Danio rerio: one gene and its partner. The protein of the gene in region 1 interacts with the protein of each later gene in a pairwise test. Links are inferred from orthologs where the notes say so. Each region holds a gene or a part of one and is shown on either strand. Other genes may lie near its edges. The genes, in order: ahcyl1 and cdkn2c.

What was found.
Region 2: the proteins of ahcyl1 (region 1) and cdkn2c interact in binary tests that used the Homo sapiens proteins (3 or more experiments, as listed by UniProt). The two-hybrid records come from large-scale screens. The link is inferred for Danio rerio from reciprocal best matches to the Homo sapiens genes AHCYL1 and CDKN2C.

Annotation. Positions count from the first base shown.
Region 1 is NC_133183.1:26,869,871-26,886,636, reverse strand, and holds part of ahcyl1 (S-adenosylhomocysteine hydrolase-like protein 1), read left to right. Parts: intron 1-1,281; coding exon 1,282-1,382; intron 1,383-2,867; coding exon 2,868-2,970; intron 2,971-3,067; coding exon 3,068-3,162; intron 3,163-4,296; coding exon 4,297-4,403; intron 4,404-5,370; coding exon 5,371-5,487; intron 5,488-5,624; coding exon 5,625-5,688; intron 5,689-6,780; coding exon 6,781-6,869; intron 6,870-7,764; coding exon 7,765-7,835; intron 7,836-10,673; coding exon 10,674-10,768; intron 10,769-11,030; coding exon 11,031-11,129; intron 11,130-13,418; coding exon 13,419-13,487; intron 13,488-13,654; coding exon 13,655-13,733; intron 13,734-13,811; coding exon 13,812-13,932; intron 13,933-16,579; coding exon 16,580-16,586; 3' UTR 16,587-16,766. UniProt on the Homo sapiens protein: Multifaceted cellular regulator which coordinates several essential cellular functions including regulation of epithelial HCO3(-) and fluid secretion, mRNA processing and DNA replication.
Region 2 is NC_133183.1:18,179,770-18,197,160, forward strand, and holds cdkn2c (cyclin-dependent kinase 4 inhibitor C), read left to right. Parts: upstream 1-7,903; 5' UTR 7,904-8,030; intron 8,031-8,404; 5' UTR 8,405-8,915; coding exon 8,916-9,047; intron 9,048-11,136; coding exon 11,137-11,517; 3' UTR 11,518-12,149; downstream 12,150-17,391. Other genes in the region: faf1 (FAS-associated factor 1), read right to left, coding at 4,805-4,873, 6,206-6,256. UniProt on the Homo sapiens protein: Interacts strongly with CDK6, weakly with CDK4. Inhibits cell growth and proliferation with a correlated dependence on endogenous retinoblastoma protein RB.

The DNA of each region.
Region 1 (16,766 bases):
GTTACGTATTTTGCTGTCTCCAGAAATGTAGAACTGGGTACGTATACACCTGAGTTGTAGAAACCGATTGACATCTGTTGTGGGAAATAAATATTTAATATTTTGTATAATAACATGAACTCCGGTTTGGAACAAGTGGAAGCAGAGTAAATGATGACTAAAAAAATGGGTGAATAATTTTCACCAGGGTAAGGAAATGATGACTCATTTCTCTCTATTTCTGATTGTCTGATAAATATTCTGTTACACAATATTTTTAGAGAAGCACACGCTAGAGTGGTTCCAGGCCAGTCTTCACTGCATTACTGTTTCATACAGTGAATGATTTCAGCCTACAACTGTCAAATATTAAATCAAACAAAACAGTAGACTTTGGATGAGATGAGTAAGCAGCTAATCCTACGCACACAAACTGTTTGAGGACAAAAACCTGACAAATTTCTTGAAATACAACATCTGAACTGTGACTTTAGGTGTGGTAACCGTAGTATAAGCAGATTAATTGCTACGAGTTCATGGAATTATTACAGAAGAATACTGTACATTACTCTCAGAACACTGTAAAAAATATCTCTGTAAATTAGCAGTTTTGTGTATTTGAATTGCATTATGGAGTCTTGATCTTTCTTCCAACAACTTTTAACCTTTAAAAGTTTGAAAAGGTGACTTTCATCAACATTTTTAATAGTTGAAAGTGATATTTTGTCTGGGTTGGTGTTGAATATTAAGGTACAAAAACCGTAAAATAAACTGCCAGTTCATTTCCTGTTTTTTACAGATCTATTTCTCTCTCTCTATATATATAATCTCTTATTTCAAACTACTAAAATGCTAATAAAAGTCACTTTGTTAAACTGTAGAGTTGAATTTTCAACATCAAAAGTCGACAGAGCAGTGATCAAGGTCCCATAAAGCAGTGATCAAGGTCCCAGTTGCTCCAGGTTTGGTTTCTGTGCCACCTTTGCTGTGTAAAGATGCCTTAATAATTCAATCAATTAGTCCTTACTTCACACTACTACTTTAAATTTAGAGAATGAATCAGAAAAATGCAGAAAAAAATGTCAAAATGTAACATTTACACAGAGGAATGAAAAGTTCAACTGAGCTGAACAGAATAATAACCATTTTAACCAGTTTTAACCATTCCTTATTCCAGGCATATTCAGATTTTTAGTCCTCATTTTCCAGGGCTTGGTTTGACCTCTGATTCTCTAGATTGTAGCTGTGTTAATAAAGCTGATCTCAGGCCAGCTGGTCTGACCTCAGAACTGTTGTCCACAGATATGTCTGCGCTGATTTCCCTGCGGAAGAGAGCTCAGGGAGAGAAACCCCTCGCCGGGGCCAAAGTGGCCGGATGCACACACATCACTGCTCAGACTGCTGTAGGTTCTGCTCAGGGTCACACGATTCAAACACACACTTCTTCCGGAAAGAGATTTTGACAAAACATTTACATTTTTGGTCAGAGTGGAACATTTTTGGCGACATGAGTTTAAATCTAGGCTTTGGGAACTTTCCTGATCCTTTTCACCAGCTTCTTTATTTTGCTTTCTATCTATTATATACAGTCATATTTAGTAAACAAGAAAATAACAGAGTGAAATATATTCATTTACCACAGTACACAAGTGATTGTTTTAATGTTTTTAGTACAAGCAGGAGGAAACTATAAATAAAATAACTTTTTATTTATTTAAACAATGGATTAGTAAACGAATTTTCGTTTCATTTCTATTAAATAAAACTACACTAACAGTTTGTTTAGGGAAAGATAAATCTGTGTCGGCCAATACTATAAACTACAGTAGTCAAAATTTGAAGTGGATCCTCACCAGCACCCATTCATGTCCTAGGACAATTTTGAAAAATGTTTTGGATTCACTTCGAATGATGACTACTATATAGTGTCCATTCACTAAAAGTAAAACTAAAAGTAAATGTTTATGAAATAAGTAAACAACAAATGTTTTTCGATTGACATTACCTAAAAGTAAAATGAATAAAATAAAGAATCAACAAACAACTAAAATAAAACAGGGTAGAATTTATTAATAAAATTACTAAAACTTAACATGGAGCATATTTTTAAAAATGCCGAAAAAAATTGCAGATGAAGTCGCAAAGGGAAAAAAAATCACACATACAGTAAAGTGCTCAGCATATGAGTATACCCCATTTTGAAAATGAATATTTTCATCCATTTTTTAGTGTATTTTTGGTGCATTTAACCAAAACAGATTTATTAAACAGATATATTTATTAAAATAATCTTTTAGTAAACATATCCAAACATTTAGAAATTGAAAGATAATGCAATTAAATTCAAGCTAAATATTGCACAAAAAAATGACAACCTACAAAATTTCAACTAAATTTTTCAATTTTTTTGCTTTTCTTGATTTTAATATTTAGTATTTTTCTCAAACATATAAATTTGGTTGTGCTAGTTTTTGGACCGTAATTGTAAGTTATTTTGTTAGATAAGCTCCAGATTTGGCTTCGGTACTGACTAATCTAATGTATATGCACAAATATAATATTGTATAGCTTCCTAATTAAAAATATGAATTTAAAAGAGCGATTTGTGAGGGGTGTACTTATATATGCTGAGCACTTTAAGTCAGACTGGTTTGTAATTAGTTTGGTCTTAGCAAATTTATTTAAAGAAAAACTCAAAAAGCTTTAATGTTAAAAATGTTATTTATTATTCTAATTAATGCACACTTTGCAAATGATTTGCTTGCAGTTTCATTAAACATACAATCGTATAATCAAATCAAAACCAAAGTGCTTACAATGTAAATTTGCACACATTGTTGTTTGTGAGTGTTTTAATGTGTTTGATTTGCTATGCTGGTTTCTTTCAGGTGCTGATCGAGACTCTAGTGGCCCTGGGTGCTCAGTGTCGCTGGACTGCCTGTAACATTTACTCCACCCAGAATGAAGTGGCAGCAGCTTTGGCGGAGAGTGGTAAACTCCCTCTAAACAAATAATACTGCTGTCTGAACTAACAGTTCCAGTCTGGAGATTATGGACTCACTTTTTTTTTGCTGTCTTTCCTGTGAAGGTGTGTCAGTTTTTGCCTGGAAGGGAGAATCGGAAGACGACTTCTGGTGGTGCATCGACCGCTGTGTCAACATGGATGGCTGGCAGGCAAACATGGTATAAAGTTCTGCCCTTTATAGGATAGTTCAGCCTAAATTCAAATTCACCCACCATTTACTGATCCTCAAGTGGTTCCAAACCTTCTTGTGTTTGTTTTATTTCTGATATTTGAAGAATGTCCTTGCCTTTGATATCCCTATAGTTGAAAAAAATAGTAAACACTTGTAATAAGAAGTAGAATGCTGACAAAAGAGTGTGGATCCAAACGCAGGTTTATTAAGAATAGTCAGGCAAGCAATGGTCGTGGTCGATAAACAGGCAGATGGTCAGTACAGGCAGGCAGCAGACAACATAAACAAAAAAACGAGGATCAAGGCAAGGCGTCGTAATGTTCACAATACTGATTAACAAGACTCAGCAACTAATGTGTGTGTCTGTGCTGCTTTTAAAGTCCATGTCATCAGTTCTGAACACCTTCGGTTGTGTGTGTTAGCAATCAGCTAGAATTTGGAACCGGTGCGTGTGTGTGTGTGTAGAGCATGACTGGGCCTTGTAGTCCATATAATGGCAGATTTGTAGTTATATGCGCTCTGTGTGTTTACCAGTGATCTGCCAGGATTAGATCACTGGTGATTGTGACAATACTGTTAAAATAAAAGGCTGATGCTATCCTCAATTAGTTCCAAACCTTCTTTGTGTGTGTTGTTTTGTTGTTGTTGACCGCTAAAGAAGATATTTTGAAGAATGTTATAGCCATTGATATCTACAGTAGAAAAAAAAAAAAATATGATTAAAATCAATTGCTGATGCTTTCCAACATTTTTCAAAGTATCTTCTTTTGTGTTTAACAGATGAAATAAACTCAAACAGATTTTGAACAAGTGGAGGGTGAGGAAGTGATGGCAGAAAAGCACAAACAATCAATGTTGTTGGCAGTTATTTTAGTAACTTCACTTATCATTTAGCCTTTTTGCGAATAACATTTCACTATTTGTAATATGATGTGTAGCCAAAATGCTAATGTTGTTGCTGTTTATGCTGCTTGTTATCATATCCACCACTATTTACACTATTTAACACAATGATTCTATTACTGTTTATAAACCGCTGTCAAATCAGTATTTACTGTTCAAAACTTTTAGCATGGTGTTTGTGTTTGCAGATGAGTAATAAAGATACTTTCTTTTACAGATTCTAGATGACGGAGGGGATTTGACCCACTGGGTGTATAAGAAATATCCCAGTGTCTTTAAAAAAGTTCGTGGAATCGTGGAGGAGAGTGTTACTGGTGTACACAGGTACGGGAGGGCTGTACTAAAGTCATAGTAAATGCATAAAGAAAATGCATAAACAGGAGCAAATGCTATTTCTTGAATGCATTTTAAGTCATTTTGGGCAAAAGCTTTTATCAAATGCATAAACAATTCAAGAAAATACATAAAATTAACCAAAAAAAACCTATATCGAAATTTTATTTAAAGTCACTTTGGATAAAGGAATATGCGAAATATATAAATATTCAATTAGATATATTTAATTTATTTTTTATTTAATTTTATTTTATTTCATTCTAGACTTAGTCCCTTATTTATTAGGAATTGCCACAGCAGAATTAACCCCCACACTATTTCAGCATATGTTTTACACATTTTATTTTGTTTTTAAACAATAATTTCATTTATTTATTTTAATTTAATTATAATTAAATTTAATTAAAATTTTAATTTTAATTTTCATTCATTCTTTCATTTTCCTTCATTTCCTTTAAGGTTTAGTCAGTTATTTTTCAGGAGTTGCCACAGTAGAATAAACCACCAACTATTCTGGCATATTAATAATTCATTCAATCATCCATTCATCCATTCATCCATTCGTTCGTTCATTCATTCATTCATTCATTCATTCATTCATTCATTCATTCATTCATTCATTTATTCAGTAATTTTCTTTTCGGCTCAGTCCTTTTAATAATCTGGGGTCATCTTATCCAGGATATGTTTTCGCTGTGGATGCCCTTTCAGCTGCAACCCATCACTCGAAAACACCCATACACTCTCATTCACTCACACACACTGCGGCCAATTTTAGTTTACCAAATTCACCCACAGAACATGGTTTTTGGACTTGTAAGGGAAACCGGAGCACCCGGAGGAAACCCACACGAACACAGGGAGAACATGCAAACTCCAAACAGAAATGCCAACTGACTTTTACAAACATTCATGTTTTATTTATTTATTTGTCTCTTTTTATTGATTCTGTCAGGCTGTATCAACTCTCCAAAGCTGGCAAGCTTTGCGTCCCTGCCATGAATGTCAATGATTCTGTCACCAAGCAGAAGTTTGATAATCTGTACTGCTGCAGGGAGTCCATCCTCGACGGGTAAAGACATCTGCAATGCTGATATATGCTTTTCTGACTTTTCTTTCAACACATCTTCCTCTAAACCTCTAACCAAGTTTGACTAAAACTTGTGTAAGAAAAAATATCATCTTAGCTGTCTTCCTCTTTCTCCTCAGTCTGAAGAGAACCACAGATGTGATGTTTGGTGGGAAACAGGTGGTGGTTTGCGGTTATGGAGAGGTCAGTACAAACATTTGGCAAAAATAAAATAGGGCGGTCGGATAATCTACATTATGCAAATAAAATGCAAGACACTGCAGGTGAAATGGGCAAAATCAAAAAAATTCCATAAATTAACCAATTTTATTTCTGTTGCAATCACCAGCGATCTAATCCTGGAAGATCCCTGGTAAACATACAGATCACATAGAACTACATATTCGTCATTATATGGACTACAAGATCCTGTCATGCACTGCACACACACCCCAGTTCCTAATTCTGGCTGATTTGTAGTCTGTTAGCGATCTGCACAGGTTGGATCGCTGGTGATTGTGTCAACTTCTGTACTTCCCCAGCTGATTCATTACATTTTTATAACAAGTTTTATTAAGTTTAAGTGCTTAAATGTGCACTTGTTATATAACAATGGTTTATTTAAATAAATGTGTCCATATATGCATACATTTCTAGCTTAAATTTTTAACATTAAATGATGTCCAGTTCAAAACTCAGGTTTAATGTTTTTGACAAATGAGAGTCTAAGGTTATAGGATTTTAGTAATCTTTCTCTATCAATCCTTTCACTCATGTCTTTGTCGAATGAAAGGTTATAACAATCAGATTTTAAAAAATGCAAAAAATATTTTAGTCCATGCTAGTTAATGGTACAACTGTCAGTAACTAATGGATTTTTATCTTGTAGAATAAAATGTTCTAATAATCAGGTAGTTTATGTATAAACATATCCATCTGTAAAAACATTTGGAGTACTGGATACAGATGATTACAATTGTGAAGTTTGTTGTGTGTACTGCAAATTGCGCTGAAGTTGAGATTGATGGCTCAGTGGAGGAGAATAAAATAATTCTGAGAAAAAGTCTTTACGGAAATATATTGTAATTGACATCCACAGACACATTTTTAAGTGTGATAAAAAAAATTTTAATCACATATTTTGAGTGTTTTCTTTAAATTAGACAAAAAAAAAACCTGTAGTGTCTGTACTGTAGCTGTAATTTCTCAAAACAGACAGACATTATTTTCTAAAAGCACAGAGAATGGAATGACGTTTCTGTGTTTGGCTGTGTTTCTGTGTTGACCGTGGTATAGGTGGGGAAAGGTTGTTGTTCAGCTCTGAAAGCACTTGGAGCAATAGTGTGTGTGACGGAGATCGATCCGATCTGTGCTCTTCAAGCCTGGTAAGACCAATAGACCCTCAAGAATGAGTGAAATCTACATTTAAACACAAGTGCGGTGTTATTGAAATTAGTAGTCATGCGATATTTTTTTTTCTGAAGGTCAATATTGGAAAGCAGGGTGGCTGATATTTAGCCAATATAATTTATTTTAATTAATAATTAAATACAAAAGGTACACAATTTTAAATAATTAAAAAATGCAGATGGCAAGCTCAATAGTGTCATTTGCCTTTATTACTAATTAATGCAATCATAATTATGTGTACACATTTTAAATACTTTGTTTAAACAGTTAATCTAATCTAATAATCTATAGCCTATTATTTTCTCTTTGTATTCGAAACAACTCCAAGTCAATTCAATTCAATTCTAGTTTATTTGTATGGTGCTTTTCAGAATAATTATTGTTTCAAAGCAGCTTTACAAAAGGTGCACATTATTCCATTACAATCTAATTCGGTAAAGTTAAGGTTATTAGTTACTAGTTATTAGTTAGTTGCAAATATGTTCTTGTTTTATACAACAGTTTAACAAACAAGACAGTAATACTGCATGAGTTACATTTCAGACACAGTCTCAAACAAATCTGAAGCGAACATTTGTGTCTCACAGCAACATTGCAAGGGTTTGTTCCTAAATGAAATTAGGAATGAATAATTTGAGTCAGTGATTCAGTGATAAAGGTGATAATTATTAGTTAATATACTTTATTCAGTTTACCCTGTAACACATAACAATTTTGTATCAAATAACTTGTGTAAACTGGTCTCTCTTAGTATCTACCACAAATAATATCAGCATATCAGCAAACCAAATAGGAACTCAAAATCTTCTTTGCACAGCAATATCTAAACACATCTGCTAATTTTTATTTGTTTTTTTATTTCCTTTATAGTATGGACGGCTTTAGAGTGGTGAAGCTGAATGAAGTGGTTCGTCAAATGGACATGGTCATCACCTGCACGGGTACGTCTGCTTGCTGTTGGCTAGCTTCCACTTTCACATCCATTTCCTCTATTAAATGCAGCTCTTATCAGCACAAACGATTCCTCCCTGAGCTGCTGTCAAACGGTTGGGCCTTTGACAGCTACGACTGATCTCTTAAGTGGTCTGGGGAAAAATCATGTTTGCCAAGTTGTGAGTCTCTGCTAGTCATAAAGAGAGAACTGAACTCCTGCTTCTTTAATTGGTTGAAGGGTAAAACAGCATTTTGGTAACATTAAGTGAGTTAACATGATTGACAAACAGGACTTCTTCTCTATTTTTTATTATATTATACTATAATAAACCATTTATTAATTGTTATTGTCACTGTCAGCATTTAACAATACATTATTCAAATAAAAAATGCTATGTTCATTTATTTTTAACATAAACAAAAAATGTACAGTTATTTATTCATTCATTAATTTTCTTTTCGGCTTAGTCCCTTTATTTATCTGGGGCCACCACAGCGGAATGAACCGCCAACTTATTCAGCACATTTTTACGCAGCGGATGCCCTTCCAGCCGCAACCCATCACTGGGAAAATTAATAGTTATATTTGTATTAATTAATGGATTAATATATAATTTAAAGCTTTATTAATTCCTTTGGGGCAATTTATTCGGACATAGTGGTGCCTCACATAACAAGATTGACACCTTTAACACAATAAACACCAACACTTAACATCAAGTACACAAACAAAAACTGAAAAAAAAAAAAAAAATATATATATATATATATATATATAAATAATAATTTATAATAAAAAAGAAGGATACAAGGATATTTTGAATATCTTAAAAAATATTTTAAATTCTATAAGTTAATCATTATATAATAAGCCACAAGTCAAAATATTATCATAATTATCATACATTTAAACAAATAAATAATAAATAAAGTAAAAAAAAAAACATCAAATAATCATTGCTCATAATAAGTGGACTTTGGTAACATTTGAACTCTTCTCAGGGTGTCTGTGGGGTCTTAAAATGTCCTAAATCTTAGCAACTAAATTTTAGGCCTTAAAAAGTCTTAAATCTACTGAAATGTTGTGTTGTAGGTCTTAACAGGTCTTAATTTTCTTTTGTTCATTTATGTTTGTTCACCAACAATCAATCTCAATAAAACTTTTTTTTATTTATCATTTTATTTGTTACTTTTATTTTTTAATTATTTTCCTCACCATAAAATTTGCTTAAAAGTTATCCCTATATTTACAGCTGAGGATACTGACCTGGCCTTTATTTTTATTTTTAAATTGTAATTTTTATTATTAATGTATGATTTAATGTATAAAATTAAAATAATTTTTTTGATAGGGCAAGTGAAAATCTTTTCCAACTGGCTTATTCGAAAAAAAAATTCCTTAGCATTTAGCCCTGTAAAAGTGAAAAAACTCAATCATAATGGTCTTTAAAATGTCTTTAAAAGCCTTACAACCTGCTGAAACTCTTTTCACACCAGTGTTTTTTTTTTTTTAAAGTTGCCATCCACTGTCAACATTTTTGATGATTTGTTTCTAAATTTGACAAATATTTTCTACTATGAATATGTTCATATTATATATATATATAAACATAAAGAACCGAGCCTGTTTTAACTTTGTAAATGTGCGTGTGTGTGTGTGTGTGTGTGTGTGTGTAAAACAAAAACAAGACAAGTACTGGACATTCTAAACACTGTAAAAAAATGATGCAAAATTTGCAATAACACTGGCAATTTGGTTGCCAGTAATATTGTAAAAGTAACTAAATAAGTAATGTGTATTTATATAGTGCATTTATTGTGTATGGCCATACACCCAAAGCGCAATACAATCATGGGTGGAGGGTCTCTACCACACTACTAGTGTGCAGCCTCCACTTGGATGATGCGACGGCAGCCACAGGACATTGACGCTAGTGCAATCCCCACTTACCAGCCATAGGTGGAATGGAGAGACAGTGATAGAGCCAATTTGGTGGATGGGGATGATTGGGAGGCCAGTAAGAGCCAATGCAAGGAACTTGGCCAGGACACCAGGGTTACACTCTTTACGAAAAATGCCATGGGATTTTTAATGATCACAGAGCCTTGGTTAACATCTCATCCGAAAGACGGCACCCACTGACAGTAAATTGCCCCCTTTACTTTCCTGGGGCATTAGGACACATACAGACCGCAGGTTGAGCGCCCCCTGCTGGCCTCACTAACACAACTTCCAACAACAACTTAGCTTTTCCATGTGGTCTCCCATCCAGGTACTGACCAAGCTCAGCCCTGCATAGCTTCAGTGAGTAACCAGTCTTGGGCTGCAGAGTGATATGCCTGTACAATTTACAAGTATACTGTAAATTACCAAAACAATTGTGCTGCAGCTTTACAGCACAATTTTAATGATTAATTTACAGTGTGCTTGAAAATATTAGTTTCACTGGCAATTTTTACAGTATTACTGGCATAAATCACAAGCGCACTGTAAATAATCAATCAGAACCGGGCTGTAGTTTTACATCACAATTGTAATAGTTTATTTACAGTGCACTTGTACATTTCACAGTATTACTTGCATTCAAAATTGCCAGTACTTGTAAATTTTACAGCAATTTTTTTTACAGTGTAGGTCTTGCCTTACCATAGTACACCTAGAATACAGATGCTGTCTGTCAATTGACAAGATAACTTTCAAATATAAACGTTCACAGTTTCGCGGGTGAGATGTGTTCCATACATCCACAGAATGACAATTTAGGGGATCCACTAAGATAAAATCAGTATTATTACTCACAGATAATGTATATCAAGGTTATATGAAGAATTGTTTGTTTCTACAGGGAACAAAAATGTGGTGACGAGGGAGCACTTGGACAGAATGAAGAATGGCTGTATCGTGTGTAACATGGGCCATTCCAACACTGAGATCGATGTGGTGAGCATTTCTCAGCTCTGTAAAAACATAGTTTGGTTTATTCATAATGAGGCTCCATTTGCTGTGGCTGTAGCGGGCAAATACTATACCAATGTGAATGTTGCCGTCAACAGCTGTAGGTCCTCTCTGAGCAGCAGGGTCACTTAATCAACCCAAAATCCTCTTAGCTGCATGTTTGCCACAACAGAGTGAACTGAATGAGTGTGTGTGTGTTGGGTATAGTGGTGCGAGTTTTAAGTGTGTGTATTTATGTATGTTTCAGGCAAGTCTGCGGACTCCAGAGCTCACCTGGGAGAGAGTCCGCTCACAGGTTGATCACGTCATCTGGCCTGATGGGAAACGAGTCATTTTACTGGCAGAGGTCTGTACTTGTTGTCTTTTTTCATAAATAAGTGCCAGTCGGAAAGGTTGTTTTATGTTGTGTTGGAAAAATGAGAACTCAATCCAGGATACTCATTACAAGCAGAATTATCTATTGAGACGTGTTGGTTGTTCTGCAGTCAAACACCATCTTCAAGAAATAAATGAGCCTAACAAAAGTCTGAAACAAGTCTAGATGAGTCTGACATGGACAGAGTTGTTCTGTCTGTTATATTGTTTAGAGGATGGGGCAGTAGCTAAAGGTGGAGATGGCTAACACAGCATGCAAATGAAGTAGATACCGTTTCAATCAGAATTAATAAACTGTAACATTTTATTTTCTTTTTTAAATATTTCCCAAATAATGTTTAAAAGATTCAGAAAATTTTCACAATTTGTCTGATAATATTTTTTCTTCTGGAAAAAGTCTTATTTGTTTTATTTCAGCTAGAATAAAAGCAGTTTTTATTTTTTTTTAAAATATATTTTTTAAAATTACCCTAACCTGCCTAGTTAACCTAGTTAAGCCTTTAAATGTCACTTTAAGCTGTATAGAAGTGTCTTGAAAAATATCTAGTCAAATCTTATTTACTTACATCATGACAAAGATAAAAGAAATCAGTTATTAGAAATGAGTTATTAAAACTATTATGGTTAAAAATGTGTTGAAAAAATCTTCTCTCTGTTAAACTGAAATTGGGGGAAAAATGGGGGGAAATAATTCAGGGAGTTTAATAATTCTGACTGCAACTGTAGGTGAAAGAACCTGCCGAGACACTGACCACACAAGTTTATCAACGAAAGAGCTTCTTTCACCTGAATGGATCCACAAAGACAAAAGTCATAGTCATTGAGACCCAGCCCATAGCTTTTGCAGCACTTTGGTCAGCCAGTGCTCTGGAAGCAAAGGGTTTAATGGCACTTACACCATGTCTGCTAGAGTTTTGAATGAAATTAGATAATAAAAAAACCAAAGAATTTAACTTTTCAGTTATTTATACATCACTGTTAATTTGAAACTAGATTATATAAATAGCTATTTCCACAGTTGCATACAGTAGCAGTCAGAAGTTTAGAAACATTTACTTCCCACAAAACAATTTTTTCTGACCATTTAGTGCTAGGGTTGTCCAAACTCAGTCCTGAAGGGCCGGTGTCCTGCAAAGTTTAGTTCCAACTCCAATTCACCTGGGCTAGCTAATCAAGCTCTAACTAGGCTTTCTAGAAACTTTCATGCAGCTGTGTTGAGGCAAGTTTGAACTAAAATCTGCAGGACACCAGCCCTCCATTACCGAGTTTGGATACCCCTGATTTAGTTACTCTCGGGTGTTCTAACCCTTTAGGAATATCTTTTATGAATATATTTTTATGAACGTGGAAAATCTGTAACAACCATTGACAAACATACCAGGAAAAAATATACTACGCATGTCAATGGCTTCTCGTCCTCAGCATTTTTCAAGATGTCTTCTTTTTTGTTCAATAGAAGAAACTCAAACGGGTGACTATTTGATTCATGACTGAAGTTCTGAAATTTCTAAATTCTGAAAACCCTGTCTTGTCACCACAGAAATATATTTTATTTTTAAAAAGTATTTGAAATTTTATTTTTAATTAATTTTATAAATAATTTGAGATAATAATATTTTTCTTGATGCTTTTTCAACTTAAGTTTTGGCTTTAAACATTTTTTTCTGATAAATATTTATTTGTACAAACTGCTGTTTTTAGTCATCTTCAGATATCATGTTTTTGCTGTTCATTAAAGACTACAATTGCAAAAACATGATTTATATACACACACACACACACATATATATATATATATATATATATATATATATATATATATATACAGTATATATATATATATATATATATATATATATATATATATATATATATATATATATATATATATATATATATATATACATACAACATTATTCAAAAACATTATTAGTCTGTCATTTTAGTCTATCATTTTCACAATTTCTGGATTATTAAAAATCTGACTTTCCACACAGGTATTTGCCATCAAATCTTTTTTTTAATTTATTTATTTATTTTTTCACTAATTTCATATTTTCTATGAAAAATGCTTGTCACAACGTATGATATGTACTATGCCATATACCATGACATATATTTTGGTCCACAGAATTTTCCCAAAGCCCCAGTTTTCTCTACTCAATCTGTGAATGTGCCCACCATGATAAATTTCTTTCCTCTATATGTGATTTTCTGCTGGATCACAGTCAATCTCAGTCATTTGTGTTGTGTTTTTCAGGGCCGACTCCTGAACCTGAGCTGCTCAACAGTCCCCTCATTTGTGCTATCAATCACAGCCACAACCCAGGTAATTTAACCTGCCGCCGCTTTGGGTTTTAGCTGCGTCTGTACCGCTGACATTTTATCCATTTATGCCAGAGCTCCTAAGTGCTCCTGCACAGCTGTATGACTATTACGGCTGATTTAACATCTCTAATCGCAGGCTGTTGTGCTCTTTTTTTGTATTAATCTTAGGCTTTGGCCCTGATAGAGCTGTATAATGCACCAGAAGGTCGCTATAAACAGGACGTCTACTTGCTGCCCAAGAAAATGGGTAAGATTATCTGAATTTGTCTCCACCAACAGCTTCAGTACTTTGTGCATTAACTGTGATAAATTGTGTGTTCTTCAGATGAATATGTGGCCAGCTTGCACCTACCCAACTTTGATGCTCATCTTACAGAGCTGTCTGATGAACAGGCCAAATATATGGGCCTCAATAAGAATGGACCCTTTAAACCGAATTACTACAGGTACAACCCCCCCCCCCATATTTCTGTTTAACGGAGAAGGTTAACTGGGCTTGTTAGGGTAATTACGCAAGTTGTTGTATAATAATAGCTTGTTCTGTAGTCTATCAAAAAATGTAGCTGAAGGGGCTAATAATTTTAAACCTACATTTTTTTTAAGTAAAAACTGCTTTTATTCTAGCCTCAATAAAACAAATCGAAAAAAAAAAACTAAAAAAATTATCAGACATACTGTAAAAATGTCCTTGCTCTGTTAAACATTATTTGGGAAATATTTAAAAAAATAAAAAAAAATAAAAAAGGGGCTAATAATTCTGACTTCAACTGTAGTTTTACTACAGTTTAAGCTTTTTTTCTTTTTGTTTAATACAAAAACAGTACAAAGGAAATACACTGGCATAAACATAGTAGCTCCAGCATTAAATCAGAAAACAAAAATAAATGAATTAAAGTGAATAAACAACAAACAAATGGGAGTATTTGTTAATTAAAGCAATCATAATGTTCAAATATAATTATCAGAGTACGATCAGTTGTTTCAAAAAATCATTGGCATAGCACTAATCAGTTCTGAGGAAATTCACAAAAGGTTGCCATACAGTTTGAAATTGGTGTTGAGATTTTGGTTCCGAGGAGTGTATCCTCTCAAGCCAAATGACTTGATACAATTCAACCATCCACTCTTTTTAAAACATGTAGGGTTAGAAGTTTTTCAGTTTAAAAGTTTTTTCACAAGAGTTAGGCCTATCAAAAGGAGATGTTGCTAGGACTTTGGAAAAGTGTCTATTGTCTCAGAATATCCAAGAATTGCAAGACAATGGTCTGGCTTAACCTTCTTTTGAAAAACTTTGGGAAAAAAAAAAATCTAAAATATATTTCCAGAAGGCGAGGCAGTGGCGCAGTAGGTAGTGCTGTCACCTCACTGTAAGAAGGTCGCTGGTTTGAACCTCGGCTAAGTTGGCATTTCTGTGTGGAGTTTGCATGTTCTCCCTGCCTTCTCCGGGTGCTCCGGTTTCCCTCACAGTCCAAAGACATGTGGTACAGGTGAATTGGGTAAGCTAAATTGTCCGTAGCGTATGTGTATGAGTGTGTGTGTGGATGTTTCCCCAACATGGGTTGCGGCTGGAAGGGCATCCGCTGCGTAAAAACTTGCTGGATAAGTTGGCGGTTCATTCCGCTGCGGCGACCCCAGATTAATAAAGGGACTAAGCCGACAAGAAAATGAATGAATGAATATTTCCAGAAATTAAAGAGTTTATTGGTCAATATGTGTTAATATGTGGGATAAACAACCAACTTCTATTTTACATACATAATTGTTTTAATAACTAATTTCTTTTGTCTTTGCCATGACGATGTGACATTATTTTACTATTTATTTTTATTAGTATTCAGCCTAAAGTGCCATTTAAAGGCTTAACTGGGTTAATTAGGGTAATTAGGCAAGTCATTAAAGAACAGTGGTTTGTTCTTTACCTAGTTGAAAAAAATATTTCTTAAATTAGCTAATAATATTGACCTTAAGAATTGTTTTTAACAAAATTAAAAAGTGCTTTTATTCTAGCCAAACTAAAATTAAATAAGAAATAAGACTTTCTCCAGAAAAAAAAGACAGGAAATACTGTGAAAAATTTCCTTGCTCTGTAAAACAATTCAATTTTTTTTTTATATTTCAGAAGAGGGTTAATAATTTTACCTTCAACTATGTCTAAAATATGTAAAATATTATAAAGATGGTTCAAAATATTGCAAAAATTGACACTTTTTTTCAATTGTTGGAATTATAATATATATATATATATATATATATAAGAAAGACTATACAAGCACTTTAACATAACAATATTCTGTACGATATTGTGCAAAGGGGCTTTTTAAGGTTGAAGAAAACAAGTTGGTGGTACATTCACAAGTAAACATTCTTTTCCTTACTGTGTTCTTGTAAGATGAAGTTTAAGTCTGGTGCATACGGAGAGAGGAGTGTTCCTACAGGTGGTTTGTCAAGCCCACTCACCTGTGGGAAGTGCACTTAAGGAATGCACAATGTTTTTTAGAGACATAAACTGTTTTAATAGAGATTTGTAACTGTTTATTATCACTTACTGCCCTCTGCTGGTTTTCAATAAATCGACTATTTATAATTAGAGCTTTTCAGCATAACATTTACTTTTGTTTAAAAGCTTGGGGTTGGTAAGATTTTTATGTTAGCATTTTACATTTTGTGTGTGTGCACAAAATTTGATTTGATATAAAATACAGGAAAACACTTTAAATATTATAATTTAATCACTGTTTTCTCTATTAAAATATTTCAAAATGTAATATTTTACTTCAGGCTTCAGTGCCATGTGATCCTTTAGAAATCATTATTATTTCTTATTATTAATGTTGAGTAATGACTGCTGCTTTTTTGTGTAGAAACTGATATTTTTCTTCAATATTAATGAATAAATAAAAAAACAACAACAGCATTTATTTGATATCAGAGTATTTGTAGCATTATCCATGTCTTTATTGTAACCATGGATCAATTTAATACATCTCTGAATAAAACCTATCATTTCCTAATCCTACTGACCCCAAGTAATCAACAACAACAACAACATACCAAACTGAACGAAAATAACATTTCCTGTTGTTCTGCTTACAGATATTAGTCTGACTGGATGGATTCAGCCTTCATCAAAGATGGAGAGATCTGTAATAACCAGTGAAGCAAGAGATTTATTTTATATTAATATACATTTCTTAAAGCAAAACTTGATTTTACCGAATGTTATTCTTATTTAATAGTGTTACTAATGTCCTGTGACAAAATATATACATTCATGTCACTT
Region 2 (17,391 bases), about 8.7 Mb from region 1:
CACAATTCATTTTATATTTCAATAATATGTCATGATAAAGTATCTTTTCTTTAAATTCAATTAATTAACAGTTTATACAATAACCAGATAGAAAGGACATTTTTAGAAAAAAAAGAAAATTCTTCTCACTTTTTTTCACACTTTTGGAAAAAAGTTTGCTCAAGCACTTAAAAATATAATTAAATAAAAAAATAAGTTAATTAAATATAAACATTTAATCAATCAAATATATACATATTTAAATATAAAACACTTTTCAAAAACTGATTATTACAGGCCCAATATAAAATTGTGCAAAATAAAATGCAAAAAAAAATTAAACTTTGCGATGTTGTCATTATGTTGTTATTTCAATTTGCATCCCTGAAATTATTTTTGCTGTACATTTTGCATATTTTTATTTATATATAAAATTATAATAGGTTGTATTGCTGCATGACCTAAAATGCGTTACTTTTATCTATAATGTTTTTTTATTTATCTTGCTATTGTATTATATTATATTATATTATATTATATTATATTATATTATATTATATTATATTATATTATAGTATATTATATTATATTTATTATGTTATATTATAGATTTTTAATTGTGTTTCATGTTTTTTAAATATATTTTTAAATATATATTTGTATTGTTTAACTCAGAAAGGAAGAAAATGTGAACTAAAAGTTTTTTGCTGATAAACTGGAACAGTTGATGTCTTGTGATTCTTTGTATTTCATACTGTAAGTTTCTAACTAATATCCATCAATAAAACAAAGTTAAACTAAATTTCATCCCTGTGGTTGAATAAGATTGTGGTTATCCAAATGATTAAATTATTTTACTTGAAACTATTTATTTTACGGCACTACAAAATAAACAATAAAGAATAATATGAAATTACCTTTATTATTTCATTCATCCGAAATACAGTTAGTAACATAACATAGCCCAAATGCCATACTGATATAAATGTTAAATGCTTTATAGGATGCCAAAGCTAATAAAAGCATGACTATTTCTGAATGGTGAAAATCAGATATTCAGGTAGAAAACCCAAACCACAAGTATCCAGCAATGGGGACCGCATATTTTCCCCTTCAGACTGAATTGGAATGCACAGTGATGGCTTGATGTGTTTGTGTCTGTGCGTGTGTGAGCAAGTGGCTTCTGGAGCCAGACTGTGATAAGAAGCCTTACTCGGTGGATACAGATCTGAATGGAATGACTTCTGATTGAGCCAAATAACAGAGTGTATACAAGGACGTACATCGCAACGCTTGCTATGCTCCCAGATTTTTTCCATGCCTGAAGAGGCCGTAGACATGATATTTTGTCTGTGTAGAGACAGAACATCAGATATTTTCACAGATCTAACCGTTGATGGTCAGAGAAATATACAAGCAGCAGATCTTTGACTGCTCGTGTAAGATTTGCTCAGGTGTAGCGCGGTGTTTATGTGATCAAGAGTACGGCACACATCCTGGCTTCAGCATGTGGGGTGTTCAAACACTCGCTGGCTGTCCCGTCTTAATTTTTTCAACCCTGCGCAGTAACAGCAAGTCATCACATTCACAGGTGCACTTAACCACGGCGTACGCTTGAGCCTGCTTTCTTTGAATTGCTGCCAGCATACAACCAGCTCCCTGCTAAATATAGTAAAACAGCCCCACTTTAAAGATAAAGAGCGACTTTGTGGAGGAAAATCTGTCTGTAAAACCGCAGTTTCTTGATGTTTGTTTGAGTACTGTCACTTTAGATCCGTCTTGACACTGCATTCTTTGTACCTCTGTTGCATATGGGATGGACTGAAGGCCACACTTTTAGTGCGAGTGTAGGTTGCTCATGCAAATTAGCACAATGGAAACTGCCAGAAGACACGCCTGTTACGTTTCACCCAATAAAATCATAGCTCTCCAGCCTGCTTTTGTCTGTGGTGTGACAGATGTCACATCTGCGTATTTTTTTTTAGGTGAAATCATGTCTGTGGCAGCGAATGAAAGGTGATATAAAAGACGATAAATCATCATGCTTGCCTTGTATTATGACTGAGATGGCTTCAATTAAAAAAGAACACTGTATTTCAAAGAGAGAGAAGGGTTCCTGGAACAAGGATTTTTCAGGACCGATTTGATCTGTCTAAATGATCTGTTTGCAATAGATAAGATGAAAGGCTATAAAAATATGTAAGTATCTGCAGACTAGACTGTAGCAGACATTACTGTCTGTTCAAACAACATTATCGATTGAAACAGACACCTAGATACATAAGCTCTGCCTGTTAGGAGCAACAAAGAAAACACTATTTGTTCACCAAGAGAGAAGCAGTTCATGAATAAGAAATCTTATATTAAAAAATAAAATAAATATGTTTAGATCTAGACTTAAAATTTGCCATTTAATTATGAGATCCATTAATTAACCATACATTTATTTTAAAAAAAAAAAGTTATAAATAAAAAATTTGATAGAAAAAATCTAATAAAGTTTAAAAATTTAATTCTCCTTATCAATCAACCAAAGAATGATCAATGCTGAAAACATGAAAACAATCCTGAAAATATGAAAACAATCTGAAAATATGGAAACAATGTGAAAATATGGCTGGATCTATCTGCTCTTGCGGATCTATCCTGGAGGCTCCATATACTGGACATTATTTGCTGGTAGCTAGCTCTCTGCAATTCTCAGATGGTTGCCCACTGAAGCGAAGCAGGACTGAGCCTGGTCAGTACCTGGATGCGAGAACACACTGAAAGCTAGGTTGCTGCTGGAAGTGGTGTTAGCAAGGCTAACAGGGGGTGCTCAACCTACAGTCTGTGTGAGTCCTAACGCCCCAGTATAGTGATGGGGACTCTATACTGCTCAGTGAGCGACGTTTTTGGATGAGACTTTAAACTGAGGTCCTGACTCTCTGTGCACACTGGCCTCTGTCCATCATGGCCTCCTAACATCCCCATATCATAATTGGCTTCATCACTTGGTCACCTCTCCACCAATTGGTGTACGGTCTGGTTCAATATAGCTGCCTTCGCATCATCCAGGTGCTTGCTGCACACTGTGGTGGATGAGGACAAGGGACAAGCATGCTTTAACATGGTTCAAGGCAACTGTACATAGTAGTGCGAGTACGCCCTGAGTGTCTAGAAAAGTGCTATATAAATGTAAGGAATTATTATTATTATTATTATTATTATTATTATAAATTTGGAATACACCACAGAAAAAATAAATGGTGCCAGTAAGAAAACTAAAATATTGGTTAAATATGACAGAGACTGTATCAGATATGTTTCAATCCTGATTTTGTACCTATTGTTGCAGTATTACTATTTTTATTTGATTTTACTTTTCATTTGATGGATCTTGGGCTTTGTTCAAAATCAAAAATGTTCAATAAAAATAATTTTTAAAAAATGCAGTTGAATGCAATTAAATGAAGAGAATATTTTAGGTGAATTATGCCTTGAAACCATAAATTATTTGCATAAAATTAAAAAATCCTAAATTGACTACTTTTTCCATTTAAGAAAACAAACACACACAAAAAACATATTTTAAAAGGTTTAAGGATGCAAAATGACAGAAAGAGATGTTTTTTTTTATCCAAATGCCACTTAAAAATAGGATTATTTGCAATTATTCAAAATTTAAAGTTTTTAATGAAAACCATGATTGAATGTAACTAAATATTAATGTCAGCACTGACCACAAAAAAAATTATGAGGTATGTGTTAGCTATGCGCTTAAATGTCAGCCTTGTGTTAAAATAACACTATAAAGCAGTGGTTTTCAACCCTGGTCATGGTGACCCAATGCTCTGCACATTTTGTATGTCACCCCTATTTAACACACCTGATTCAGATCATTGGCTCATGTGCAGAGAGCTCCATAAACTGAACAGTGTATCAGATAACAAAGACATGCAAAATGTGCAGAGCAGTTGGTCCCCAGGACCAGTATTGAAAACAACTGCTATAAAGAATGTTGCAAAATGTGCTTCAAATTGCAGAGATAAGATGCAGTTTGACCCTACTGTTTCCACTGTGGAAGGTTTAAAATGATATGTTTCTATGTTTTACAAATACAGAAAAAACTGAATTGATATATGACTTATAATATTATTAATATTGCAGAACAGTAAATAAAAGAATATTTGTTCTGACATCAGTTCGAAAATTCAAAATATATAAATAGGTCTAAAGAGAGTGCTCTAATAGTTGTAGTAAAATCTTAGGTAAACTTTTATAATAAGTAATGACAGCTATTTTTATTTGGGGTTGGATATTTATCATAAAGCATAAACATTGTTATTTAAATGTCAATCCTGCTATCCTGCGGTTATTGATAGTTTAATTCTGTTGTAATTTTGCTTGATTCATGACATAATATTAAATTGAATTCCATAAAAATGCTATTATTAATACAACTAGCCACAGAATAAAGTGCCAGATCTGTATCTAACAACAAATTCTTGATTTCTGCTAAGCGTACAGGCAAAATATTAATAAGGTATTGAATTACAAACATGACTAGTAATGTTTCATTGATGAGTAAATTCAGTAATGTGCTAGCTTATATATAGGAATGCTGCTAATACATCCACAGCACTGCGCCAGAATGTTCTGTGAACAATGGTCCCATTAAATAGTGTTTGCACTAAACACACTGGCTTTGTCTCCGATTCATCAACACAATCCACAAACAAACAATAAGCAGGAAACAAAACAAGCATGTTAAAAGGTTGGATGGCTTGAAATTCTTTTACCTAGGAGTCAGTCTTACAGATTTTACCAACAAATAGTGTCTTACCACCAAGTCCCAGTTGTTTAGTTCTAGAAGTGTGATCGCCTCAGCAATGTTGTCAATTCCGGTACATGCCTAAAATGATGAGTAATAAAAAACATCTTTAGAATACTGGCTTATTAATAATAACTGATAATGAAATTATATAATAACAGGACTTAGATACATTTCAGAGATTGATGTTGATTAAATATTATTTAATTAATACTGCAGGTATAACGATGGGTGGGTGGATGGATGGATGGATGGATGGATGGATGGATGGATGGATGGATGGATGGATGGATGGATGGATGGATGGATGGATGGATGGATGGATGGATGGATGGATGGATGGATGGATGGATGGATGGATGGATGGATGGATAGATAGATAGATAGATAGATAGATAGATAGATAGATAGATAGATAGATAGATAGATAGATATAGATAGATAGATAGATAGATAGAATGTTTATGATTGTACATTACACTACAAGATTTTGGGGTAACTGAACATGAAAAATATTTTGTTAATGGAAGTAAGAATGGATGGATGGAAGTTTATGAGAAAAGCATACATATAGTAGATTTTGGTCAATTCCTCCTTAAATATTTATTTTAGAGCTATTTCTGCTTCTATAAAATATTAGAATTCTAATTTAAATAACTGGACTTACATACATCTCAGAAAATGATAATAAAATATTTTTTGTTAAATTAGCAGGCATAACCATACTACATACAGAGATAGATGGACAGATAGATGGATAGGTAGATGGACTGATGGGTAGACGGATGGATGGATGGATGGATGGATGGATGGATGGATGGATGGATGGATGGATGAATTTATCATAAAAGCATACAGTATACAAAGGCAGCAATAGACTTGGGTCTACACCTCCTTAACTATTTCTTTACTCTAGAGCTATATCTGCTTCTATAATAAAATAACAATTTAACTTTAAACACACAATATGTCAGGAAGTTACAACTAAACTGTCAGGTCTTGACCCAAACCAACTGAAAACCATCCATGTGACAGGTAATGGCAGTGTACAAACAGAAAACCGTGCAGAGTCATCTGACAGCCTCTGGCCATTACATGGTCAACGCCAGATCAGGCTACAGATGACAGTATTTTATTTTTTCCATATCTGAATAAGCTGACCACATAAAAATGATATATTTCACGCGGTTTGCTGTTATTTTGCTTAATCATGTGCTGCCCAGACTTCGTGTTTGCTGAAAAACTCAAACAAAGCCACTGACAGCTGATCATCTCGAGACATGTCAACAAAAAGGAGTGACTTCAAAAGCCGTTGTCCGGTTAACACTCAGCAACCACATAAAAACGACTCACATCTACACATCCAGAGCTTGAGAAATCAGAGGTCATGGGTATTGATGTGAGAAAACCCACCTGAAAGTCGGCCAGGATCATTTCTCTGTCCATGTTGCTGTCGGAGGCCATTGCAGAGAGAGGCTAACGAATCATGTAAAAAGCCCCACAATATCAACCATCAATTTCAAAAAAGCAGCTCGGGACACGGCAGGTCAGCGTGCGGTAAATAACTAAGTGCGAATGCTGCTCTTCGGGGCCGTGTTGTCAGTGTTTGTCGGCTTTCAGGTTTTCTGTTATCGTCACTTTGCTGTTCTAGATCGCGTTCAAATTCATCTTACGGCTGCCGTAAAGAAGTGCTGCAAACTGTCGCGGAGGTGGCGCCACACAAACATCGTTGGAAAAGGACTGCGTAGGGCCGCCGTTGAGTTTGAATGGGCTGATATTTGCAAGTGATTGGTTTGGCTAGCATAAGCCATTTTAAAATAGAAAGCTTTTAAGATATATGTTTTTCCGTGTTACATAGTCATCCGAATTGTTGTTTTAGCTGTAACAAGTTCTGTTTACACTGTGCAACCACCTAAAATAACTTTTTTTATTTTGTAAACAAGAAGATAGGCAAGACCAAACTCTTAATAAATCACTTGTTTAGACTAAATTTGTATGTACATTCTGATGAACGAACAGTTTTCATTGGTGTAATCTATGCCAGGGATATAAATGTGTGCTTGCTGGTGTTCTCAATCACACCATTGCTGGTTTAGATTGGTTTGGGGCCGTTTTAAATGTGTCAGAGCATCTTAAGCAAAGGCATCCTAAAGTTCAATGCAATTAAATTACCTAAACGTTATTTTATTGTAAACATACAAAAGAAAAACAACAAGATATCAACAACCTTGTCTACAAATAATACAACAAAAATAAATGCATAATAACCATTTCAGTGTGACCCATGAACATTTCCTGCTTGTTATCAAACTATTTCATAACTGTAACAAGAGGCAATTCAATCATGACTACATGTTAAAACATCTATCACAAAATTATCTATCAATATGTGGCTATAGAAATTAAAATATATTGGGACCATTGTTTCGTTTACATCTCTCAAAATGGTCCATACACCAGCTTAGTTATAAGCAGTCCTGCCTGGTTTTTAGAGGGGCTTGAAGGGATTTAGTACATCAGGCCATCGTTTCCAGCCAAACTGCTTTCAGGAGGTCAGCTAGACAATCCTATGCCAGAAACATCGACTACAATTTAAATTACTAAAGCTTTTGGGGTAATTGAACATAAATAAACTGTGAATTTAACAGCCTTGCATTAAAAATAGCAACAGATAAATCATAATCTGCTGTGGTTGTTTCAAAAATGAGAGAGAAAACTAAAACACCAGAAAAACTCTATAGCTTCAGCTGATTTTAAAATCATGTATTTAATAATAAGTTTAATAGTGTGTGGTGAATGGATAAACACGCCATAATGTAAATATAGGCAAACTACGCGGAGGACTATATAACCCATTGTGCTGTTACAGTGTTTTCTTCACATGAGGAGCTTGAATTAATTCAACTTCAAAAGAAGAAACTTATATTGGTAACACCAACGTCGTAAAGGCTTTATTACACGGGAAAGGCGAATGCGTATTCAAAACTGAAAGCAGAAAGTGCATCTCTCTTTCGGTCAGGAGGATCAGCCTCTCCCTGAGTCCCAGCAGCATTACCGTTGAGTCCCAGCGGCTCCGCCTCTATATGGGCGGAAGTGTCGGTCCTTTATTTCAAAAAGGAGTGATGTCAAACAGCAGCAGACTCTCTGACAAACTCAGCTGTCTTATAAACAGCGTATTGAACTCCCGAGAGCCATCAGAAGAGGATAAACCGAAGCCAGCGATGTAACCATTCTGCAGGTACTGGATACAATGTTTCATTTCAAATGATTCGACCAGCGGCTGAACCTCCACAGAAGTGTAAAGCACCTCTAATGAATCACTACGGCGGAACATTTGTAGATATTCAAGCCTAGAGTTTTGAAATGCGAATACCGAAACACTGTTAGTAATGTTTTGCACGCGTGCCAGTTCGCTACACCGGACTAGTATCAGTACGAAGCCTTTCGTGGTGCCAGCGGTCTTTGATGTGCACATCAATGAAGACTCTTGACGTTTCATGTTCAAAATTGGCGGGAAGCTCTCAAAAAAACTCACAACACGTCGTTGCAAATTGATTGGATGCTTAATATATTTTTTCTCAGCGAAGTAACAGGCTCCTTTCTCTGTTTCAGAGGTCGTGGAAGAAGCTCGGAATGACTACATCTGCGAATACCACGAACGCATCGCAGCTCTTCAGCCCATTGCACCTGCATATTATCAGAGGACATATGAAAGGGAAGTTTGCCTCTCGGATCCGATCATTTTCATGTGACTACTGCAAATCTGTTTGAATGCGAGAGATCGAGTATCTGGACTAAGACCACAGTACATTCATGCCATTTTTGGGCACGGGCGTCGATCGCAGAAAAGAGGATGTTTCTTTTGTTTAATTGTTCTTGATCGTTCTTATTTTGATTAGAGATGGCTCCGCATCTCTGTTTTCTCCACTGGTTCCGATGGCTTCAGTAGGACGATGTTAGCCTAATGTGGGTGGACCTTGGCGCATCTCCAACGGATATTTTTTAGGGGGGCTGGAGGATCGGACTATTTACTACTGCTTTGTAGTGCTTTTTCCATATCTCCACCAGCGGACATTTTTATTAACAAAATCAGAGATATTCTACTTTCCTTTGTCAGGATATAATGGCCGAGGACACTGCTTTAGACAGGCTGAGCACTGCAGCTGCGATTGGGGATCTGATGGAAGTTGAGCAGACACTTCAAAGCAACGTGAACGTTAACGAGAAGAATAAATATGGCAGGACAGCACTGCAGGTTAGACGCACATCTCCACCTACAACCTTCATATAAAAAAACACGATGTTTATAATTCATAGTGCATCAGCTTCAGGAAAACAGCTTGTTCTTTTCCTTCTTCCAGTCACTATAGCAGTGGCCTGGTTGATTTACTTCTGACCAAACCGGTGGCTTTTTGAAAAAATCAAAAGGTTTACCTGAGAACCAACTACGCACCTGTTACAAATTATTTCTATTTTTATATGCCAACAAATGTGCGTCACTTGTTCTCCAATAGCCTATTTATTGTTGAAACCGAAAAGTGTTTTATCACCGTATAGATCAGCTCACGAGCTACACGAAACCTGACATGTTTGGCAGCTTTTTATAATTATTTCAGATTGTAGATGTAACAGAAAACTTTGCATGTATTTTAATGATCATGCAGTTCCAGTTTTATAAGGCCCGAAATGATTGTAGATGCTTATGTTTGTTATTTCCTTTTATATGACATATAACCCTCTAGAGGAACAAAATAAAATCGAATCCCAAAAGCCTGTTTTTAAGTTTTAAAAATGTTATTTTAGTTTAAAATATAATATTTTGTATCTCCGAATGTTACACCTGACACAGTATTGCTGCTAAATTTCGGTCAAGTTGAAATATTGTGAGATTACTCATGTGCTTGTGTTAAAATCTCACAATATATATTTTTAAGATTCAGAACGAGAGCTTATCCGAACACTGGGTAATCCCCATACTCGATGTTGTAGCATATAGCAATTTCTGCTTATGCGTATGTGACAAATTTATAAGTGGAGGTCACATCAAATATTCGCAAACGTTGTGTTATCAACATTACGATCTTAGAATAAAAAATATGAACGAATAAGGAAAATTTTGAGTTTTATGTAATGTGACTGGTCACTACCTGTAAGGTTTTGATTATTTTATCAGCTTTTTTTAAATTTAGTAGGTCATTTTGATAGACAAATATATTTATAAATAAATACACACCTTCTATTTGGTTTCTAAATATGAGATAATCAAAAATAATGCATAAAAATTATCTAAAAACAGAAATTTAAAGTCATTTAAAATGGAGCCTTATAGCCTTTTTAAAATACTTATGTGATGTAGTAAACTTCCTGGTAGTATTTCCATAAAATCAATTCATAGTGATACTTTTTTATCTTTAGAGATCAGTTAAAATTGAAGAGATCGATTTGTGCTCGATTTCTGATATAGTTTGCCATACACACTTTTATTTCACAGCCTTCAAGTCGTACTTATTCTCTCAAACAAGCAATTTCCCTTTTTACAATCCATCAACTTACAAGAAAACAAAAGTAAAATCTCTTTTGAGAGCTGCACATTCTTTCTCAGAACTGTCATAAAGATATGTATAAGCAGAATGCTGAAAAACTTGTTAAACACTTTCCTTAATGCATGTATATATTTTCATTCTAAATAATGTTTTTTATTAATAATACACGTAAAGCTTGTAAATAAAAAAATTACTTTCTTTTTTGTCCATAAGTGGAAATCTATCTTTGGCTTCACCACACAACCACATCAGCGTTCACATTACACAAATCACAGGAAAAACAGGCAACACAAATACATTCAACGTACACATGTACACAAATGTATACATTCAACAAAAAATTAAGTGTGCATTACACTGAAAAAAAAATATTCATTGAATTTACCCTAACCCTAACTATATTTTAAAGGTAAGTGGTTGCAAACTAATTGTATGGGCTTAATAAAAAATACCAATGTTTAATGTAATGTTTGTTTAAATTCAGACCATATAAGTTGTTTGCAACCACATTGTAAAAAAAACTATACGATCAATTAGTCCTGACAGCACATGTTTTAGGTCATGTTAACTTATTAGACTAAGTTAATCATGTTCTAACTTAATTTTATAATTTATAAGTTTTAAGTTTAACATAATACAAGTTCGGGTTAATTTGATTCAGCTTATAAATTAAGGCAACCAGGATTTTTTTTACAGTGCACTTACCTTAATAAAAAATATAAGTCAAATGAATAATTTTTAATTGTAAGCTGATTAATATTTAAAGACCCTAAAACGTGTTCTCTTTGTGTTGCATCTCAGGTGATGAAACTTGGCTGCCCGAGCATCGCGGAGACCCTTTTACAAGCTGGCGCAGACCCAAACGTGCGCGACCCCATACTAGGACTGACCGTCATCCACGATGCAGCGCGTGACGGATATCTGGACACCCTGCACGTGCTCGCGCAGAACGGTGCTGATGTCAATCTCCTAGACAACGACGGCAACCTGCCTCTGCATCTGGCGGCGCGCGAAGGACACTTGGATGTCGTGCAGTTTCTCGTAACGCATTGCGTGACGCAGCCTTTTCTGGCTAACGCAAAAGGGTACACACCTCGTGACCTGGCGTTTATGCACCAAAAACACAGAACTGTGGAGTGGTTGGAGAGCATTGCGTCTTTACAATCCAGCCAGAGATTGTGACTGTGGGCCTGCGTGTAGCAGAGGTAGCGGATCAATGCTGAATTAGCGCTTTATTGCAATTGCAGAATATTCAGCCAACTACCTCTTATTGCAGTGTAAAATATTGGGCTCAGGGGCTTGTTTGTTTGTTTGTTTGTTTGTTTTTGTGGGTGAAGAATAATTAACATTTCCGATGACTTATGGCTCTTAACTTTTTTTTTTGTCAACGGGATATTTTTCAGGTCACCTCCATTTTAGATTTGTATATAGCATACGTTTCTCTAACTTTCGAGCTCATGTTTGTTCTATGGGTGCTGTTTCATAACAAACACAAAAAATTAAATGTAGATTAATTGAGATTGTCAAAAACAAAGTAATTGCACTATATAAAATCAGCACCCTGCCATGAGTTTTGCTGTGTTTAGTTTTGTCACAGTCAACTTGCACTTTTGCTTGTAATTAATGCCTTTTTAACTGTTGTTTAACTGTGAAGGATTGTCTTTTTATCGCTTTTGAAAATATTAAAATCTTGCCAAATAACCAAAGACAACTGTTGAAACGGTTTCAGTATGTGTTTAACTCTGGCCTTGTGTCACTGGAATTCGGGTGGGCCTAAAACACCTTTATGTGACTATTAAAATATTTGAATTTGATTATGGGTAAGTGTTTTTATGTTGTCTAATGTTTAAATGAGAAAAATACTTTGACGTTAGCGGTGGCGGTTGTATATTTTTAGTGTGTATTTGTGTACCAACACGAGAAGTCTGCCGTTCCCTCTGTAAACACAAAGAGGATACAGCTAACAATAATAAGCTTTTTACACAGGTAGAAAAGAGAAACTAATTTAATATAAACTAATTCTCATTGTTCGGTGATTTACATGAGGAGAATAAGTTCATACCTTTAAAAAAGTGGGTCAATTTGGCTACCTTGTATTTCTTGTACATCCGTGTTTCTTAAAAAGTTAGAAAAAAATGATAAGTTTTTAAAACAATTTTTTAAATAAAATCTATTTTATATAGGCCTAGTTTATAAAGATATTAGTGGGGTTTAAAACTGTCTTGGGATTGTCAAAAAAGCATTAGCCTATACGATTTTTTTCTTAATAATGTTTAAGTATGCTAAATTGATGTAGTTTGGCAAAATGTGTAATTGATATTATTATTAGCTATTATTTTTAAATGATTTGTTATTATGTTGTTTAATCAATATTTAATTTAATTTAAATTTTTAATTTAATATAAAATCATTTTATATTAACACTAAAAAACACTACAAGCAACAAAACATGAATATTTGCTGATATTTTGTACATTTACATATTTGTCAGGTAGCCTATATAAAGCGGGCCTCAAATTCTCTACTCTAAAAATCCTGATATTTTTAATCAAACATATATTTGACATCGAGTGATAGCTTTGAAAAATAAGTTACTTACAATTAAGATGCAGGAACGCTGTTTATTATATTTAGAGTCCATTTCAAACAGGGCTTTTTCCTCCAAACTATATGAATGCAAAGTTTGCATATTCCGGAACTTGATTTACATTTATTTTACAACCGATTATTAAATCCTTTTCATATTCTCGGCTATCCTCATATCTAACTGTTACTGACCGCTATCGAACCAAACATAATAGAAACGCATGTAGCCTAAAGTGAAATCCAAATATAAATATGCGTCTTATGTGGGCACGTTATTGCTGTGCTTTCTCTCGCTGTGATATAAAACAAATGTTTTGACATGTGGTGTGTGGCAGTCATTCATTTCAAAACCAGGAGTACGAAATCGTACGTAAGTGCTATATTATGATCATGGATATATATGTATAAATAATGCGCTTTTATTTAAGGGGTCTGCGCCATATGGGCTGATCTTTAAGATGGCACCATATAAAATGAGATAGAGAATGATAAAATGGTGACTCTCTCTGAGAGTTTTCATGGTCGAGCAGAAGCAGCAGATCCGTTAGTTTAGTGGGAGGAAACGCCAGCGCGCAATGCCAGGATTTTCAAATTTAGGCGCTTTCGATGACAACAAGCACTTACGATTCTTTTTTAAAACTCGCTCTTCCTCTCTTTCTGCTAAAGAAAACCACTTGTAGGATGTTTTTGCCACTCTAATACAGTTTTTATGATTTTTAGGATGCCATCATGCCAGATATCTTCTTCCTGGTTGCGCGCCTGCGGATAATCTTTTTTGAAACGCGCGACGCCTGATCACGCGTTATATTTTTAATCTAATTATTGAAATTTTATGGTCAATATTCGGCTCTCAAGACGGGTTTATATCGACTGTCAGCAACAAATGAAGGTAAATAAATCGACGCCTAAATGTGCAGAATCTGCAAACGTGTTTGGGCATGTCTGTGGTCAGTTCAGCATGTATGTGTAGTAAACTAACAAACAAAAACAATATTTATGAAAAGTAATGCACCTAGGTTTGTCAAAACACTATTTTATAATCCATATGTAGCATGCAAAAACAAAAGAGTATGTGAATTATTAAAAGCCAAAAATATCTATCATAATGTCGAGAATATACGTTTTCTGCAAATATTTGCATCCTGTCTACATTGCTTCCACGAACTGTAGCATATCTATATAAGCATAAAACATCTCTCCATAAGCTGATAGTTAACTATTAAATGAGAGCAACTCCTTTAGTGGTCTATACCCAGGTGAAATACAAATTTTAAAGTAAATATTATTATACCATATCATAGTAAGGTAAATTAATTAATATGTTGTGGTAATTCTACAGTTGTGGTTAAATACAATGGTAATAACAATATATAAATATGGTATTATAATAAAGTAAATTAATGTATATGTTGTGGTAATTCTAGTTGCTGTGGTTAAATACAATGGTAATAACAATATATATAAATATGGTATTTAGGCAAGGGACTATAACCGTTTTCAAGGTATAGAGCGGTTTGAAAACGTCAATTTTTTGCAAAACCATTGCTGAGGTATGTATAAGATTTTTTATTTACATATTTTTGGGGCAACAGTATCTCCAGCAGAAAAAGATATTCAAAGATGCCATTTTAAGTTGTAAAAAAATAAAATCTGTTTTTGACATAAATGAAGACAGCAGAAGTCAATTTTCAATTAGAATTATTTAGCCTGACATGTTTGCTGTTCCAAAATATTTTAAATGTTTTTTTTAAATAAATTATATTGTGTTTAAAAAAAGTATTTGTTTTTTACCCAGACATTTAAAAATAACATATTTTAGAGCAGTAATCACAATACCATGATATTTTTATCCAAGGTTATACCGTCAAAATCTTATACCACCCCATGCCTAATGGTATTATAGTAAGGTAAATTAATTTATATGTTGTGGTAATTCTACAGTTGTGGTTAAATACAATGGTAATAACAATATATATGTTATGATAGTAAGGTAAATTAACTCATATGTTGTGGTAATTCTACAGTTGTTGTTAAATACAATGGTAATAACAATATATAAATATGGTATTATAGTAAGGTAAATTAATTTATATGTTGTGGTAAATCTACAGTTGCTGTGGTACAGTAATAACTATAGTAGTAATAATAATATATAAATATGGTATTATAGTACGATAAATTAATATGTTGTGATAATTATACAGTTGTGGTTAAATACAATGGCAACAACAATATATAAATATTTTAATAACAATAATTTTGTAATATAAACCCAAATACGCCACGCTCTCTACAGCTATAAGGTATATTATGCTACAATACACCACCATTTAGAGTAGTAAAACCCACAGTATGTATTAGTTTATCAGTTTACTATACTTGTAATAAATATTATAATATATATACACTTTATTATTGTTATTTATTATTATTATTATGCAATAACAGTATAATATGTACTACAGTATCTCTTTATGTGGGTAATTGTTTAAATCGGAAATAGTGATTGATGCTGGATAGTTGTTTTATATGTTGGAGAACATTTTAAGAGAGGCCTTACAGTTGTAAAAATAACGTTAGGGTTATTTCTGTTTTGCTGATCATTGTGATATTGCTCTTGAAGCCCATGATAGGGCACATAAGAAAAACAAGATTTCAAATTTTGACTGAAGCTATGCTACTTCAAGTTCAGTTCAATTTTACCCGAACGGAGACACAAGGGACCATCATGTGGCAGACCTTTCATCTGCATTTCACAAACTGTTTGCCCGGGGCCGGTGTCTGATTTTGTGCAGTGTCTGTTTAATTGCTCAACAGAAATGTCCACATCTTTAAACTCATATCAACCTTTGTTTGTCATTCTATTGATTCAGAATGCATTTATTTCAGTGTGATTACTCATATATATGTTTACTTATGTCATGTTTGTCACTTTTTCACAACAGTTTTTAAATTCAGTGTATGCAAATAATTGTAAGAGGAATAAAACAGCCGACTTGCCTTGGTTTATGTTTGAATGTTAATGCAGAAGACTGAATAAAACACCCATTGCGTTACAGCCAATGTGTCTGATTTTGTGGGCAATAGAACAAGTTTGCTGCTTTGTAATTTATGAGTGTTACAAGAGCTCGCATGAGCAGCTGCCAGGTGGAGTGCCACTTCAAAACACTGTTTTCCCACAGAAGGGGTGATACAATATGTCCAAAAGCCCTGTGGTGGTGAGATGTTGGCCCGTTGACAAGGACACTTTTATCAGACATTCGGGAGGGCCTGCTGTGCATTTTGCCTGTGCGGTTCATTTTTGGTTGCAATGACTGACAGCTAAAAAACTCAGTTCAAGTGCAGCAGCTTCCTTCCACATTCTCACAGGCGTCAAGCAGACAAAGTTCGCAGATTGATGGATGAATGGAGAGAGAGATAGAAAGATGCATGGATGGATATATGTGTGGATGGGTAGATGGATGACAAGAATGAATGAATGGATTAATGGATGGATGGGATGATGTATTGATAGGAGGAAGAGGTAAGAGGGAGAGATGAATATACAGATGCATGAATGGATAATGAGTGGCAGAAATGCTTGATGGAAGCATATATGGATGATGGATGGATGGATGGATGAATGAATACATGGTTGGACGGATTGATGGATGAATGATGGATGTGTAGATGGGTGGATAGATAAAGGTTGATGGGTGGAAAGATGATGGTTGATGGGTGGTGGGATAACGGATGGATGGATGAATCGATGGATGGATCAAAGGACGGATTGATGGATGAAACAATAGGTTGGTTGGTTGGATGGATGTATGGGTGAATGAATGATGTATGGATGGATGGGTGAATGGCAGATGAATGATGTATGGATGGATGGGTGAATTGCAGATGAGTGAATAGAAGGATGGATAGATGGCAGATGGATGGATGGATGTGGATGGAATGATAGATGGATGTACGGATGATGATAAATGGATGGAGGGAAGCAGAGTGGATCGATGAATAGATGCCTGAATGAATGATGGGTGAACAGAAAGACGGATGGATGCATGAATGGATAGATGGATGGATGGATGAAAAATGGAAAGATATATGGATGATGGATAAATGGATGGATGGACAGATGAATGGATGATGAATAGATAAAAGAATTATGGGTGAATGACAGATGGATAAATGATATATAGATGAATAATTATGGATGGATAGATAGACAGATAGACAGATAGATAGATAGATAGATAGATAGATAGATAGATAGATAGATAGATAGATAGATAGATAGATAGATAGATAGATAGATAGATAGATAGATAGATAGATAGATAGATGTAAATATAAATGGAATGGCGGATGGATGGATGAAAAGATAGATGGATGACAGATGAATGGATTGATATAAAGATGGATGGATGACAGATCGATGGATAGATATATATGGATGGAATGATGTATGACAGGTGAATCGAAAGA